2 linked regions of the Stegostoma tigrinum genome follow. The protein of the gene in region 2 interacts with the protein of the main gene of each other region in a pairwise test. Links are inferred from orthologs where the notes say so. Each region holds a gene or a part of one and is shown on either strand. Other genes may lie near its edges.

Evidence for each region.
Region 1: the proteins of E3 ubiquitin-protein ligase XIAP-like (region 2) and ube2wb interact in a two-hybrid assay, tested with the Homo sapiens proteins (2 studies listed by BioGRID and IntAct). The link is inferred for Stegostoma tigrinum from reciprocal best matches to the Homo sapiens genes XIAP and UBE2W.

Annotation. Positions count from the first base shown.
Region 1 is NC_081358.1:26,381,823-26,389,531, reverse strand, and holds the start of ube2wb (probable ubiquitin-conjugating enzyme E2 W-B), read right to left. Parts: upstream 3,108-7,709; 5' UTR 3,078-3,107; coding exon 3,063-3,077; intron 2,003-3,062; coding exon 1,911-2,002; intron 1-1,910. UniProt on the Homo sapiens protein: Accepts ubiquitin from the E1 complex and catalyzes its covalent attachment to other proteins.
Region 2 is NC_081368.1:29,298,525-29,305,513, reverse strand, and holds the start of E3 ubiquitin-protein ligase XIAP-like, read right to left. Parts: upstream 3,084-6,989; 5' UTR 2,819-3,083; intron 1-2,818.

The DNA of each region.
Region 1 (7,709 bases), on a different chromosome or scaffold from region 2:
ATTATTGATATTGGAGGTTTTGGTGAACTTAATGTGGTCAAATCCGCAGGTCCAGATGAGTTGTACCGTCAGCCACTGTGGAAGACAAGGTAAAAAAATTACAGGGGCCCTGAACCAAATTTTTAAAATTGTCTCCGGCCACAGGGAAGGTCCTGGAGGACAACAGGACATACTTTGGGTATGAGGACAAATTGGTTCCACTTTATAAGGGTGGTAGAGATAAACTAGGGAACTATAAGCCAGTAGAAAAACTACTGCAGAAAATAAATCTCGATTTAAAGAGGCAAGGTTTCATTGGGGATAATCAGCATAGAGACAGTGAGGACTGCAGATGCTGGAAGCTGGTGTCTATAGGTGAGAGGCTGGATAAGCATAACAGGTCAGACAGCATTACAGGAGCAGGAAAGTCAATGTTTTGGGCTGAAATCCTTCATCAGGGGAGGGAGGCCAGAAAAAAATGTGGGGGAAGGCTGGAGGGAAGCTAGGTGAGATGGAGATAGGTGGATGCAGGTAGTTAGTGAGTAGGAAGATGAAAATGTTGGGGATGGAGAGATTTTGATGGTGGTGATGCAAGTAGGGGTTATTGTGGTTGGTCAGTGGGAAGCGTGGAGCCGACACGTGTCAGAAGATGGACGAGTGGGGGGGGGGGGGGGGGGGGAGAAACGAGGAGAGATGGACAATTGGTTGGCGTGAGGAGAGATGGGCAAGTGGGGTGAGGTATGAGGAGATTTAAACATTCAGATTAAATGTATGCATCATACTTCTACAAAGTTTCTTAATAAACAAGATTATAATTCAATTCCTTTCGTTGTGAATTAACTGAGTTAAATGCAGTACACATTCTATAAACCTGCACAATGCTACATATTGCAAGCGATCATTTACAGGACTAATCTTCTTGCAAATCAAATTTTTTTTAAAAGAAACACATGATTCCATTGCATCATTCTGTATATTTCACTTACACATTCAACTCATTACATACAGCAAGTATGAAACTGAAACTGGTCAGACATCAGAGGAACCAGGTAAAATAAGTAAGTGTGTTCATACATGCAGAGACTTTATAAGTTGTTACGCTGAAAATATATACAATTCAAAACTATTTGATACTGTGAAAAATTAAACAATGAAGGTACGTACAAATATTAAGAACAGAAACATTTCAGAGTTACTGCTATTAATAGTCAGACATTGTTAACTCCCTAAGTCAAGATAAACACACGCAATGTATACCATAGGATATAAGACAATGCTCATTATACTGCAAAAACACTGACAGTATATAACTAATTCAGTAAACAAACAATCACCACATTAAAACTACTTAAGTGTCAGTCATATCTCATAGTACAATAGATTCAGAAACAATCCACCAGTTCTTGTAGTGTCCTCAAATTTCCAGTAATATATTCAAAGCCAACATTCTTAAAACAAGCTATTATTGCAAACTTAGCTTTTGAGCTGTTATACTTCTATTATTTATATGCACCTTAAAAAAACTACTCCACACGATATACATCCAGCAAATTCCATTAAAATATACACACTGTACAATCATACTACATCAACTTATTTACAAAACATGATTAGTCCAACGATCATCTTGTAACCTGAAATACACCTTCTTAGAAACAATGCAATCATGTGGATGATCAGCCATGATCATAATGAATGGTGGTGCTGGCTCGAAGGGCCGAATAGCCTACTCCAGTACCTATTGTCTATTGTCTAATACAAGTTGTTTAACAGAGCGCACAAATCCTGTCCATATCCTGATAACTAAATAGCAATGACACTAGAAAATAATCTTTGATTCTAGTAAAACTGCCAGTAATTTTAAAAACTCTACCTGCCTTATACTGGCTTTTCACATTTTAAAATTAACATTAAAATATTAAAGTACATACTGCGTTATTGAATTTTGTACACTCTTCTCATTTAAAGTCATTCCTGGGGGTGGGTCATTTTGCAAAGCCATTAGCTCCTTCTGTAACCTTTTCTATTAGAGAAAACAGAACAGTTAGAAAAAATGGGTTACTGTAATATTAGGTAAACTGGTGTATAATTTTCCAAATTGTAATTATCCCCAATTCTGTGAAGGTTTGCTTCCAATTGATTTTCACTTTAAAATTGACATATTTGAATGCAGTTGTGTAAAAATTCTGAAGTGTAAATTTTTTGCCTAATTTCATACCTTCCCAAATTAATACTGTAGTTATTTCCTTCACAAACTCAGCTAATCAGTACAATTGCAGGGCTAATACAAGCTTGACAGTTTTACATATATATGCACGAAAAAAAGTGCAGTAACTCGGCCAATCACATTTTTCAAGATGTGGATAACTATTAATAAAAATGGACGGCCTTTATTTACTGAACTGATGCAAGTTTTACCACGGAGGATGCGTACACAGATGAGGTGTTAGTCCACGTACTGTGTATTTAAACAAGTGGTCAGGCTTGATCCCCGACAGGATAAGCACACATCGGGGTGAGAACGTGGAAACGAGGAGCAAAGTTAAAGGTTCTGAAATTGAAGAAGCCCAACTCAAGTCATATAACGATTGCTGATGGCAGAGGTGACTCCTGAGCCCATTGCTGTTCCTGTGGTGGGCCTCGACAGGTGTCGCTGGCACCTATAACCTTCACAGGGCGCGATGATGCTGTTGCCATCACCTGGATGGAAAGAAACAAGGGGCAGGCGGAGAGATGGAGCCCAAGTCACCCCAACCACCACCCAGGGCTCAGGGATCGACATCCCACTCCATTAGGAATGCGCCCAAAACCCTCTGCACTTTTCACCGCCGCGGTTTTAAGAAGCCCGCAAATTTGTGAAAACGTACACAAACAATCGCGGGCCGCTCCACTCGGCTTCATCGTTTATCCGCTCCCCCCGACCCTCCAACCCCCCAACCCCAGCTGAAAAGACGAGATGCAGATACCGAGGAGGTCTTAGGGCCGGCTCTTCCCTCGAATGCGGAGAGAAACTGACACGGCCACCCCAGCAGGAAAGAGAGAAGGCGTCCACTGAAGCGCCGCCGAACACATCAGACACTCACCTGCATTGACGCCATGATGGAAACCCCCCCTTTTCCCCCCGCCCCCCTCCGTGCCAGAGACACCGCTCAACGGGATTGCGTCATGACGCACGCGGGGTCGGGCACGCACAGTTTCTCTCAAGCAATGTGGTCACGGCGTGCGCGCTTCCCGGGCATGAGACCGTTGGGAACTTCTCCGTGATTGCCTGACACCGAGGCGTGCGATGTTGGTGGAAGAGCGTCAAAACACGAAATAAAACGTTGACCTGCGGATGCTGGGAATCTGAAGTTACTGAAGAAAGTCAGCAGGTGTGGCAGAGAGAAAGCAGAGTTAATGTTCTGGGTCCAGAGAGCCCTGAGCTTTCCTCAGCTAGATTGGAAAAGGTGGGCTCCATCTCCACCCATCGCTTATTGCTTTACCCATGCAACTCCTATCTTCAACATACATACCACCCTCCCCTATAGTAGCCCATTGGCCAGTGTTCTCCATGCACTTCTCTAAATTGTCTATTGCGAAGAAAATTACCCAGGTTGGAAACACTCTGGACAGCTGTGCTACACTGTATTATGGGCAACTGTGCGGTCCAGCAGCACTTATGCCTGACTTCACGTTCTTTGGAAGACATTTTCCATGTGGTTGGTGAATGTGCAAAGTTGGACACGCACTGCAGAAACAGAATCGACATCAAAGATATTTTCGATCTTAAAGCACACAAACAAGTCGGTTGATAACTGGCTGTCCAATCTGAGATCCCGAAACGTCAGCTTTTATGCTCCTAAAATGCTGCTTGGCCTGCTGTGTTCATCCAGCTCCACACTTTGTTATCTCGGATTATCCAGCATCTGCAGTTCCCATTATCTCCAATCTGAGATCTTTTCCGTTCTGTGGAATGATCTTTCCCATACCCGACTCATTCATGAATTTAGTTGAGCTGAGTCAGCAGGCACAGGAATTCTGGTGCAATGTTGTCATCATATCATGTTGCTTTGCCACATTTCAGGCTCCTGAATGCTTTTCTAGTTCTGTGATTTTGTATGAATCAGGACTGCACTGTTCTGCTCATGTTGATTTTTAAGCCCATTATAGATTATGTGTTTTATATTCTTTTGCACTGACTCCCTCGCTGCAAGGAAAAGATGACTGGCAACTTAGTTTAGGATCTCTGCTGGAAGATGTTGCTAAACTGTAGAATACTGCCTACAGGCAAAGCACATGCTTCAGGGGAAAATCTTTCAAAAATTAGGGTATGATACAAGTAATACAACATCCCTGTAATTCGCAATTAACCTCTCTCTGTTGGAGCTTGCAGGTAATTCTTCACCTCAACATTCTTGGCAGACTGAAGGAGCTCCACAAATGAAATCAAGTATCATGAGATCAACTGGCCTGTGAACAAACCATTGTTTACCAACAGGTAAATGGGCGCCTACAGAAGATTTCATTGGGTTTCCTAGTCTCATGAAGGGATGTTAAAGAAGAAAGGCAATCTTGATAGAGTCTGTGTTGACGTAAGAGAATTGCTTCATTCTGCCAGCAAGAAGGCAGTCTGCAATTTGACAGGAGTGGTGGAAGTGTTTTCTATTCTTTTCATAATCAAAGAACCTTCAGAAGACAACCATCAACAAAGGTTTCCAGAAGAAGCAAATACTGTGAACAAAAATGAGCTATACAACTCACTTGAGCTCAGTGATGAATCTTTTAACTGTGGTTGTTCAGACACCAAACAGCACAGTGGACAAATTGATACAGCAGATTTAACATTGATGCTGGATGATGAACAAAGTTAGCCACCAAAGTGTGTTCAATTTAACATTTTTATCATTGTGAATATTTTTGTGACATTTATTTGTATTTCTTTCATTTATCAAAGCCAGCAATAAGTCTGGCAATATATTTTCCTCTGAGTCAAAAGATGGTTGGTTTAAAGTGTACTTCAGATATTTGAACATATCATCTAAGATGCCACTTCACTATTGAAGGTGGGAGCAAATGGCAAGTCGCTATTTCATTCACTCCGCTGGTTTCTAGTTTCATTCATTTGAATGACTTTTCTAAAGTTAAATACTAAGAACAGGAGTAGGTCATTCAGTCCCTTGAGCTTGTTCTGCCTTTCAATGAGATCATAGCTGAATGGACTAACTCTGTTTTGGCCTATATTCCCTGAACTTTTGCTACTCAAAAATTTATCTTTCTAAGATTTAGAATGAAAAACTGATCTAGTGTCCACTACCGTTTGTGGAAGAAGCTTCCAAACATCTACCACCCATTGAATAAAGATGTGTTTCTTAATATCTTTGAGGTTGTTGACTTGCACGCTGAGCCAGCTTGTTTTCGTTCAGAGGTTTTTTCACCATACTAGGTAATATCATCAATGAGGCTTCCAATGAAGCAATGTTGCTCTATTCCACTTGGAATTTATACTGTCTGGTCTCTTATGTTAAACAGTACCATTTCCCGTTTTGTTCTGTATGGGTTTGTACATGGGGTCCAATTCTATATGTTTGTTGATTGCATTATGGGTTGAGAACCATGTCTCTAGGAATTCCTGTGCATGTCTATGTTTGGATTGGGCTACTATGATTATGTTTTCCCAGTTAAGTTGATGGTCTTCCTTGTCCAAGTGTGCTAATAATATGGAAAGTTCATTGTGTTGTTTTGCTGCTAGTTGATGTTCATGTATTCTGATGGCCAGTTTCCTTCCTGTCTGTCCAATGTAATGTTTGTGGTGGTTGTTGCATAGTGTTTTGTAAATTGCATTTGCTCTGCCTGTTGTGGGAATGGGGTCTTTAATCCTTGAGAGTGTTTGTTGCGGAGTGGCTGTGGGCTTGTGTGCTACCATAATTCCTAGTGGTCATAGGAGTCTCATTGTCAGTTGATGACTTAAACTCCCTACAATATGGAAACAGGCCCTTCAGCCCAACAAGTCCACAATGACTATCGCAGCATCCCACCCAGACCCAGCCCCTATAACCCACCTAATCTACACATTACTGAACACTATGGGCAATTTAGCATGGCCAATCTACCTAGCCTGCACATCTTTGGACAGTGGGAGGAAACCGGACCACTCAGCGGAAACCCACACAGACACTCGGAGAATGCACAAACTCCACACAGACAGTTGCCCAAGGGTGGAATCGAACCCTGGCCCCTGGTGCTGTAAGACAGCAATGCAAACTACTGAGCCACTGTGCCGTCTTTGTCCTGTGTCCTCTTGTTGTTGTCAATAATGCCTTAACACACTGGTCACACTGCCCTATATCAAGAACATATCAGAACTGACAATGAGACTGCTATGACCACTAGGAATCATGGTAGCACACAAGCCCACAGCCACTTCACGACAAACATTTACAAGGATTAAAGACCCTATTCCCACAACATACAGGACCAATGTGATATACAACGTATCATGCAATGACTGCCACAAACATTACATTGGAAAGACAGGAAGGAAACTAGCCATCAGAATACACAAACCTCAGCTAGCAGCAAAACAACATGATGAACTTTCCTTAATATCAGTATACTCGGACAACAAAGGCCATCAATTTAACTGGGACAACGTAACCATAGTAGCCCAAGCCAAATGTAGACATGCACAGGAATTTCTAGAGATATGGTTCTCAACCCATAATGCAATCAACAAACATATAGAATTGGACCCCATATACAAACCCATACAGAACAAAACTGGTCATGACACTACTCATCATAATGCACTGGACAGTCTAAATTCCAAGTCAAATAGAACAACATTGCTTCGTCTGAGGCCTCATTGATGATGTTAACTAGCATGGTGACGCAATGTCTGAACAAAATCAAGTCAGCTTGGCGAACAAGTCAACAACCTCACCCACAACCTTTGCTAAAATCTTAATATCTTTTCTCAATAGTCTCGCCCTAATTCTTGGACAATACCCAAGTTTTAGAATCTCTAACCTGTGGAAATAGTTTATCATTATCTACCCTGCCCTTTCCTGTTAATATCTTGGAGACTATGATCATATCACCCCTTTCTAAATTCTAGAGAAAACAGGCCAAATTTGTATAATCTCACCGTATTATTTAACCCCTGAAGGCCAGGTGTCATTCTTGTAAACCAACTTTGTACTCCCTGCAATGCCAATATATCCTTCTTGAGGTGTGGTGCCCATATTAGCTTACACAACTCCAAGTGGGATGTAAGGAGGGCTTTCTATAATTGCATCATAATTTCTATATCCTTATATTCCAGTCCTGTATTTGTAGGCCAGAAATCCATTGGCTTTCTTCATTATTTTCTGCACCTGTTCATGGTGTTTTAAAGATCTATGCACCTGAACCCACTAATCTCTTTGGTTCCATCGTATTACTTCGTACCATCTAGAAAGTGCTCTGATCTATCCTTTTCCAGTCCAAATTGGATTCTTTGGACTTGTTTCTTATGAATCCTGATTTCAAAGCTCCCTAGTCAGAGTTTTCCACAAAACTGTAATGATTATGAAATAAATTATCTGCCACCTCCCTGAATGTTAAACTCTTCAGTTAAGTTTTGCCCTTTCAAGATTTTCATTTGTTCTCACATTAAAGTATTTATTAAGAGGTATTAGAACTTTAAAATAATTTATGCCTTCTTTATATTTTCTTCATACGTCAGCTGTGTGTCCTGTTGAATATATTAGTGT
Region 2 (6,989 bases):
CCTAATCTCCAGAATGTCTTCCCTAAAGGTCACCTTCGATTGTTTTACTACATTAGAGACACTTTGCAAATGCAAAAGCAAAATACTGAAAATCTTGAAAATAATATGCTGGAAATCTTTTAATTCCACTCCCGCACATCCCAGATGTCCAAGTTCTTCAAGGACCGCAACTTTCCCCCCACAGTGATCGAGAACGCCCTTGACTGCGTCTCCCGTATTTCCAGCAAAACATCCCTCACACCCCGCCACCGCCACAACCGCCCTAAGAGGATCCCCCTCATTCTCACACACCACCCCACCAACCTCCAGATACAACGCATCATCCTCCGACACTTCCGCCATCTACAATCCGACCCCACCACCCAAGACATTTTTCCATTCCCACCCCTGTCTGCTTTCCGGAGAGACCACTCTCTCTGTGACTCCCTTGTTTGCTCCACACTACCCTCCAACCCCACCACACCCGGCACCTTCCCCTGCAACCGCAGGAAATGCTACACTTGCCCCCACACCTCCTCCCTCACCCCTATCCCAGGCCCCAAGATGACATTCCACATTAAGCAGAGGTTCACCTGCACATCTGCCAATGTGGTATACTGCATCCACTGTACTCGGTGTGGCTTCCTCTACATTGGGGAAACCAAGCGGAGGCTTGGGGACCGCTTTGCGGAACACCTCCGCTCAGTTCGCAACACACAACTGCAACTCCCCGTAGCAAACCATTTCAACTCCCCCTCCCATTCTTTAGATGACATGTCCATCATGGGCCTCCTGCAGTGCCACAATGATGCCACCCGAAGGTTGCAGGAACAGCAACTCATATTCCGCCTGGGAACCCCTGCAGCCTAATGGTATCAATGTGGACTTCACCAGTTTCAAAATCTCCCCTTGCCCCACCGCATCCCTAAACCAGCCCAGTTCGTCCCCTCCCCCCACTGCACCACACAACCAGCCCAGCTCTTCCCCTCCACCCACTGCATCCCAAAACCAGTCCAACCTGTCTCTGCCTCCCTAACCTGTTCTTCCTTTCACCCATCCCTTCCTCCCACCCCAAGCCGCACCCCCATCTACCTACTAACCTCATCCCACCTCCTTGACCTGTCCGTCTTCCCTGGACTGACCTATCCCCTCCCTACATCTCCACCTATACTCTCTCCACGTATCTTCTTTACTCTCCATCTTCGGTCCGCCTCCCCCCCTCCCTATTTATTCCAGAACCCTCACCCCATCCCCCTCTCTGATGAAGGGTCTAGGCCCGAAACGTCAGCTTTTGTGCTCCTGAGATGCTGCTTGGCCTGCTGTGTTCATCCAGCCTCACATTTTATTATGCTACATATACACATATATTTATATAATAGATCAGTGAAACATTAGAACCTTGGTGACCAGGTAGACAACTTTAAATTGCTATAGTAAATTAGTGTACACATAATGGACATCACGGGTATTGCATTGGAGTTACGGAATATTTACGCAAACAAGTCAAGTTGCACTTCTGTCTGAAACAGTTAGGCTGCATTTTGCGATGTGAGTTTTAATGACTCCCCTGTAGGAAAGGAATAAAAACAGTGAAAAAGGTGGATACATCCACTTCTTCTTTTGTTACAAAAGGTCAGCAGAAACTGTTGTCTAGAGAGAGATAGTTAAGATGGTTGGGTTTATCTTTTTGTTTCAGAAGATCCAATTTAAGACTGATAAGAAAACTCCTCTTGGCTGTCGGGTTTTGTTTAGCCACTATAAAAAGCAGAATTTCTACCACAATCTAATTTTACTTCAGTCAGAAAGCAGGCATGCAGGTTTTAAGTATTTTGCTTTTGGAGTATAATAAATTAAAAGTAGAGATGATTCAAGTGCTTGCAAGTATTCCACGGTGACTCTTGCTGATATTGTATTCTCCGGTCAGGCATTGACTTGCATGGTTACCTGAGCTGCATTAGAAGAATGCCATCTTCTGGTCACAGCTTTGTAGAATACAGAATAGAATTGAATATCCTTTTATTGTCAAGCGTCTTGGAAGTACAAGAGTACACAGAAGTTTTTACAATGGCTGCCACTAAAGGCGCCATCCTCGGTACAAGCACTGAGGTAAAAATTTCATACGGAACAAGAATAAAAGGAATAGTTGTAGCATTACATACAGTGTCTGACAAAATAGGTTAGGAATCAGATCATTATAACATAGTTAAAGAACTCACATTACAGTCAGGTAAAAAAAATTCAAATAGCAGTAACTCAGCATTGTGGTCTGACTGTATGTGCTAAGCGCCTGTCCAATAATTATCCCGCTCTGCTCCAAGTTTCCAGTCCTCTCTGCACCGGCACACAACTGCGCCAAGATAAATTGTGCTGTGCCAGGACTCGTTCCCCTCACGCTGCACCAAGACTTGTTCCCCTCATGTCGCACCAAGACCCGTTGCCCTCACGTTGCACCAGGACCCATTCACCTCACGCTACACCAGGACCCATTCCCCTCACGCTGGACCGGAATCGTTCCCCCCGTCTTGTATCAGGACCCATTCCCCTTGCGCTGTACCAGAACTCGTTCATCTCCTGCTGTACCAGGACTTCTTCATCTTCCGCTGTACCAGGACTTGTTCTCCTCATGTCGCACCAAGACCCATTCCCCTCATGCTGCACCAGGACTTGTTCCCCTCACGCTGCACCAGGACCCATTCCCCTCACGCTGCACCAAGACTTGTTCCCCTCATGTCGCACCAAGACCCGTTGCCCTCACGTTGCACCAGGACCCATTCCCCTCACGCTGGACCGGAATCGTTCCCCCCGTCTTGTATCAGGACCCATTCCCCTTGCGCTGTACCGGAACTCGTTCATCTCCTGCTGTACCAGGACTTCTTCATCTTCCGCTGTACCAGGACTTGGTCATCTCCTGCTGTACCAGGACTTGTTCCTCTCATGTCGCACCAAGACCGGCTCCCCTCGCGCTGTACCAGGACTCGTTCATCTCCCGTCGTGCCAGGATTTGTTAATCTCCCGCTGTACCAGGACTCATTAATCTCCCGCTGTACCGGGACTTGATCCCCTCGCGCTCCACTGGGACCCATTCCCCTAGCGCTGCAACAGGACTCATTCCCCTCATGCTGCACGAGGACCCGTTCTCCTCGTGCTGCACCGGGATTCATTCCCCTTGCAGTGCAGTAGGAATTGTTTCTCTGAAAGCTGCTCCAAGGATTCCAGAGCTCAGAAGCCATCAATTTTGACTAGGTTATTTAAAATTATTTAAACTGGGCACGCTAGGTTGGGTGGCAATACTGCCTATCAGATGGATCTGACGACTGAGTAATGGTCACAGAAGGAAGCATGCTTGTGCAGGAATTGAGGACAAAAAGGGGAAAAGATGGGGAACATGAAAGAATATAAATCTGAATTGTTTTTGTTAGACAGAAGAAGGTTAAGAGGTGACTTAATAGAGACATACAAGATGATCAGAGGATTAGATAGGGTGGACAGTGAGAGCCTTTTTCCTCGGATGGTGATGGTTAGCATGAGGGGACATAACTTTAAATTGAGGCGTGATAGATATAGGACAGAAGTCAGAGGTAGGTTCTTTACTTAGAGTAGTAAGGGCAACAGTAGTAGACTCACCAATTTTGAGGGCATTTAAATGGTCAGTGGATGAACATATGGATGATAATGGAATAGTGTAGGTTAGCTGGGCTTCAGTTTGGTTTCACCTGCGATAGATGCAACATCGAGGGCCAAAGGGCCTATACTACGCTGCGATATTCTATGTTCTATGTTTTCAACCAATATGCCATGAGGACCTGTATAAATTGAGCATAAAATTTTGATTTTCATTACCGATGTACATTATTAAACAATGTTTCATCTCAAACAATATTCTTAATCAAAATTACATCTCAAAACTCATTAAAATTAATCAACGAATTAAAAGTGCAGGATCAGGATTTTTATTCTAAAATGTGAATATTCTGAATGCATACGGCTCAAGGGAAAAATTGAGATGACATAAAAAAGTGGGTGCGCATGGAACTGTTTGCCTCACTTTTAGAGTGCCATGTTACTCAATAGGTTGCAAACTACTGCAGTAGAGAATGACAATATAACAAGTATTCTTGAAATGTGACTACTTCAGAACATGGAGCTAAATTCAGTAGTATAATCTTTTCAAAAGGGATCGAAACAAGGAGAATTTTCGAGCAAGCTTGGCCTGCTGCAACAGTAGAGAATGATCTCTCTTTGATCTTCATTACCAACTTATATCCTTACTTACATAAATCCTTCTATGTGGATTTTAGTTTATTCCTTTAAGTAAGTATAACCATTGCTGAAAATTATTGAATAAACGAACCATTTATCTTGTTGAAAGCAAAACTCTGTGCTGCCAGTTATTTTCACATTGAAACACTTCGTAATAAAAAGGGGGAGTTGAAATGAACTCCATTTCACCAATTTATACTTTACATGTGGGGAGGTAATTGACACTGCCTCCATAAACCCTAACTTGGACCTTTCCTAACTGATATTCCTGCTACTAGAATTACTACACTTTAATCTGATTTTTAACCCTACACTGTGGAAGGCCATTCACTGTATCATATATGCATTATCCAATTAATATCATTCAATTTATTTTCTCATTAGCCCACTGTTTACCTTTCATTTGGCTGCTACATACAATAACAACAGACAATAAGAAATAGGAATAGGAGTAAGACTATTCAGCGCTTGAGCCAGCTCCACCATTCGGTAGGATCATGGCTGATCCAACCCCATTCCTCACATCCACTTTCCTGCACTTTCCCTACAGCCTAGATGCCCCTTCTGATCAAGAATTGATCAATCTCAACGTTAAATATATACATGGACTCTGTTCCCACAGCTCTTTGTGGCAAGGAATTCCAAAGAATCAGGACCATCTTGAGAGAATAAATTCCTCCTAATCTCAGTCTTAAATTGGCACCCCTTCATTCTGAGACTATGCTGTCTGGTCCTAGACTCTCTCACAAGGGCATACATCCTCTCAGCATTTACCTTGTCAAGACCCTGAAGAATCCTGTGTGTTTCAATCAGATCGTCTTTCATTCTGATAAACTCCAGTGAGCAGAGTCCCAACCTGTTTTGCCTTTGCTCATAAGGCAATTCCACCTTACCAGGGATCATCTTAGTTGGCTTCCTCTGAACCGCCTTCAATGAAACAATATATTTCCATAAATAAGGTTACTAAAACTGGTCACAGTACTCCAGATGTGGTCTCACCAGCATCTTGCACAGTTGCAATACGACTTATCTTTTTATGCTCCAACCTCATTGAAATAAGGGCCAACATTCCATCAGCCTTCCTGATTGTCTGCTGAAGCTGTTTGCTCGCTTTTTGTGTTTCATGGATATACCTCCTTTGTGTTATTGCTTTCTGCATATTTTGCCATTTAAACAATACTTACTTATTTTGTTCTCCCTTCCATAATGAACATTTTCACGCTTTCACATATTATACTCCATTTGCTAATTTTTTGCCGACTCACCTGACCAATCAATATCACTTTGTAAACTGTTTGTATCCCTCTCACAATGTAACTTTCCACCTATTTTTATGTCAACTGCAAATTTGGCCATTGTACAGTCACTGCCTTCCTCCAATTCGTTAATTTATATTGTAAATAGTTGCAGTCCCAGCACTGATTCCTGTGGAACCCCACCGATCACATGTCACCAACCTGGAATAGAATCCCCTCTCCCGACTCGATGTTTCCTGTCATGAGCCAATTCTCTATCCAAGTCAATGCACTACCTCCAAATCTGTGGGTGTTTACATTATGTCTTAACCTTTTGAGCTGTACCTAGTCAAACACCTTCTGGAAGTCCAAATACAGCACATTTGACCATAGGATATAGGAGTGGAAGTAAGGCTATTTGGCCCATCGAGTCTACTCCACCATTTAAATCATGGCTGATAGGCATTTCAACTCTACTTCCCTGCACTCTCTCCGTAACCCTTGATTCCTTGTGAGATCAAGATTTTATCGATCTCTGCCTTGAAGGCATTTAACGTCCCGGCCTCCACTGCACTCCGTGGCAATGAATTCCACATACCCACCACTCTCTGGCTGAAGAAATGTCACCTCATTTCCATTTTTAATTTACCCCCTCTAATTCTAAGGCTGTGCCCACAGGGCCTTGTCTCCCCGCCTACGGGAAACAACTTCCCAGCATCCACTCTTTCTAAGCCATAAATAATCTTGTAAGTTTCTATTAGATCTCCCCTCAACCTTCTAAACTCTAATGAATACAATCCCAGGATCCTCAGCCATTCATCATACGTTAAACCTATCATTCCAGGGATCATCCGTGTGAATCTCCGCTGGACATGCTCCAGGGCCAGTATGTCCTTCCTGAGGTGTGGGGCCCAAAATTGGACACAGTATTCTAAATGGGGCCTAACTAGAGCTTTATAAAGTCTCAGAAGCACACCACTGCTTTTATATTCCAACCCTCTTGAGATAAACGACAATATTACATTCGCTTTCTTAATCACAGACTCTATCTGCAAGCTAACCTTTAGAGAATCCTGGACCAAAACTCTCAGATCCCTTTGTATTTCTGCTTTACGAATTTTCTCACCATTTAGAAAATAGTCTGTGCCTGTATTCTTTTTTCCAAAGTTCAAAACCTTGCATTTGCTCATGTTGAATTTCATCAGCCATTTCCTGGACCACTCTCCTAAACTGTCTAAATCTTTCTGCAGCCTCCCCACCTCCTCAGTACCACCTATCTTCGTATCATTGGCAAACTTCGCCAGAATGCCCCCAGTCCCTTCATCCAGATCATTAATATATAACGTGAACAAGTGAGGCCCCAACACTGAACCCTCGTCACCAGTTGCCATTCCGAAAAAGAGCCTTTTATCCCAGCTCTCTGCCTTCTGTCAGACAGCCAATCCTCAATCCAAGCCAGTAGCTCACCTCGAACACCATGGGCCCTCACCTTGCTCAGCAGCCTCCCGTGAGGCA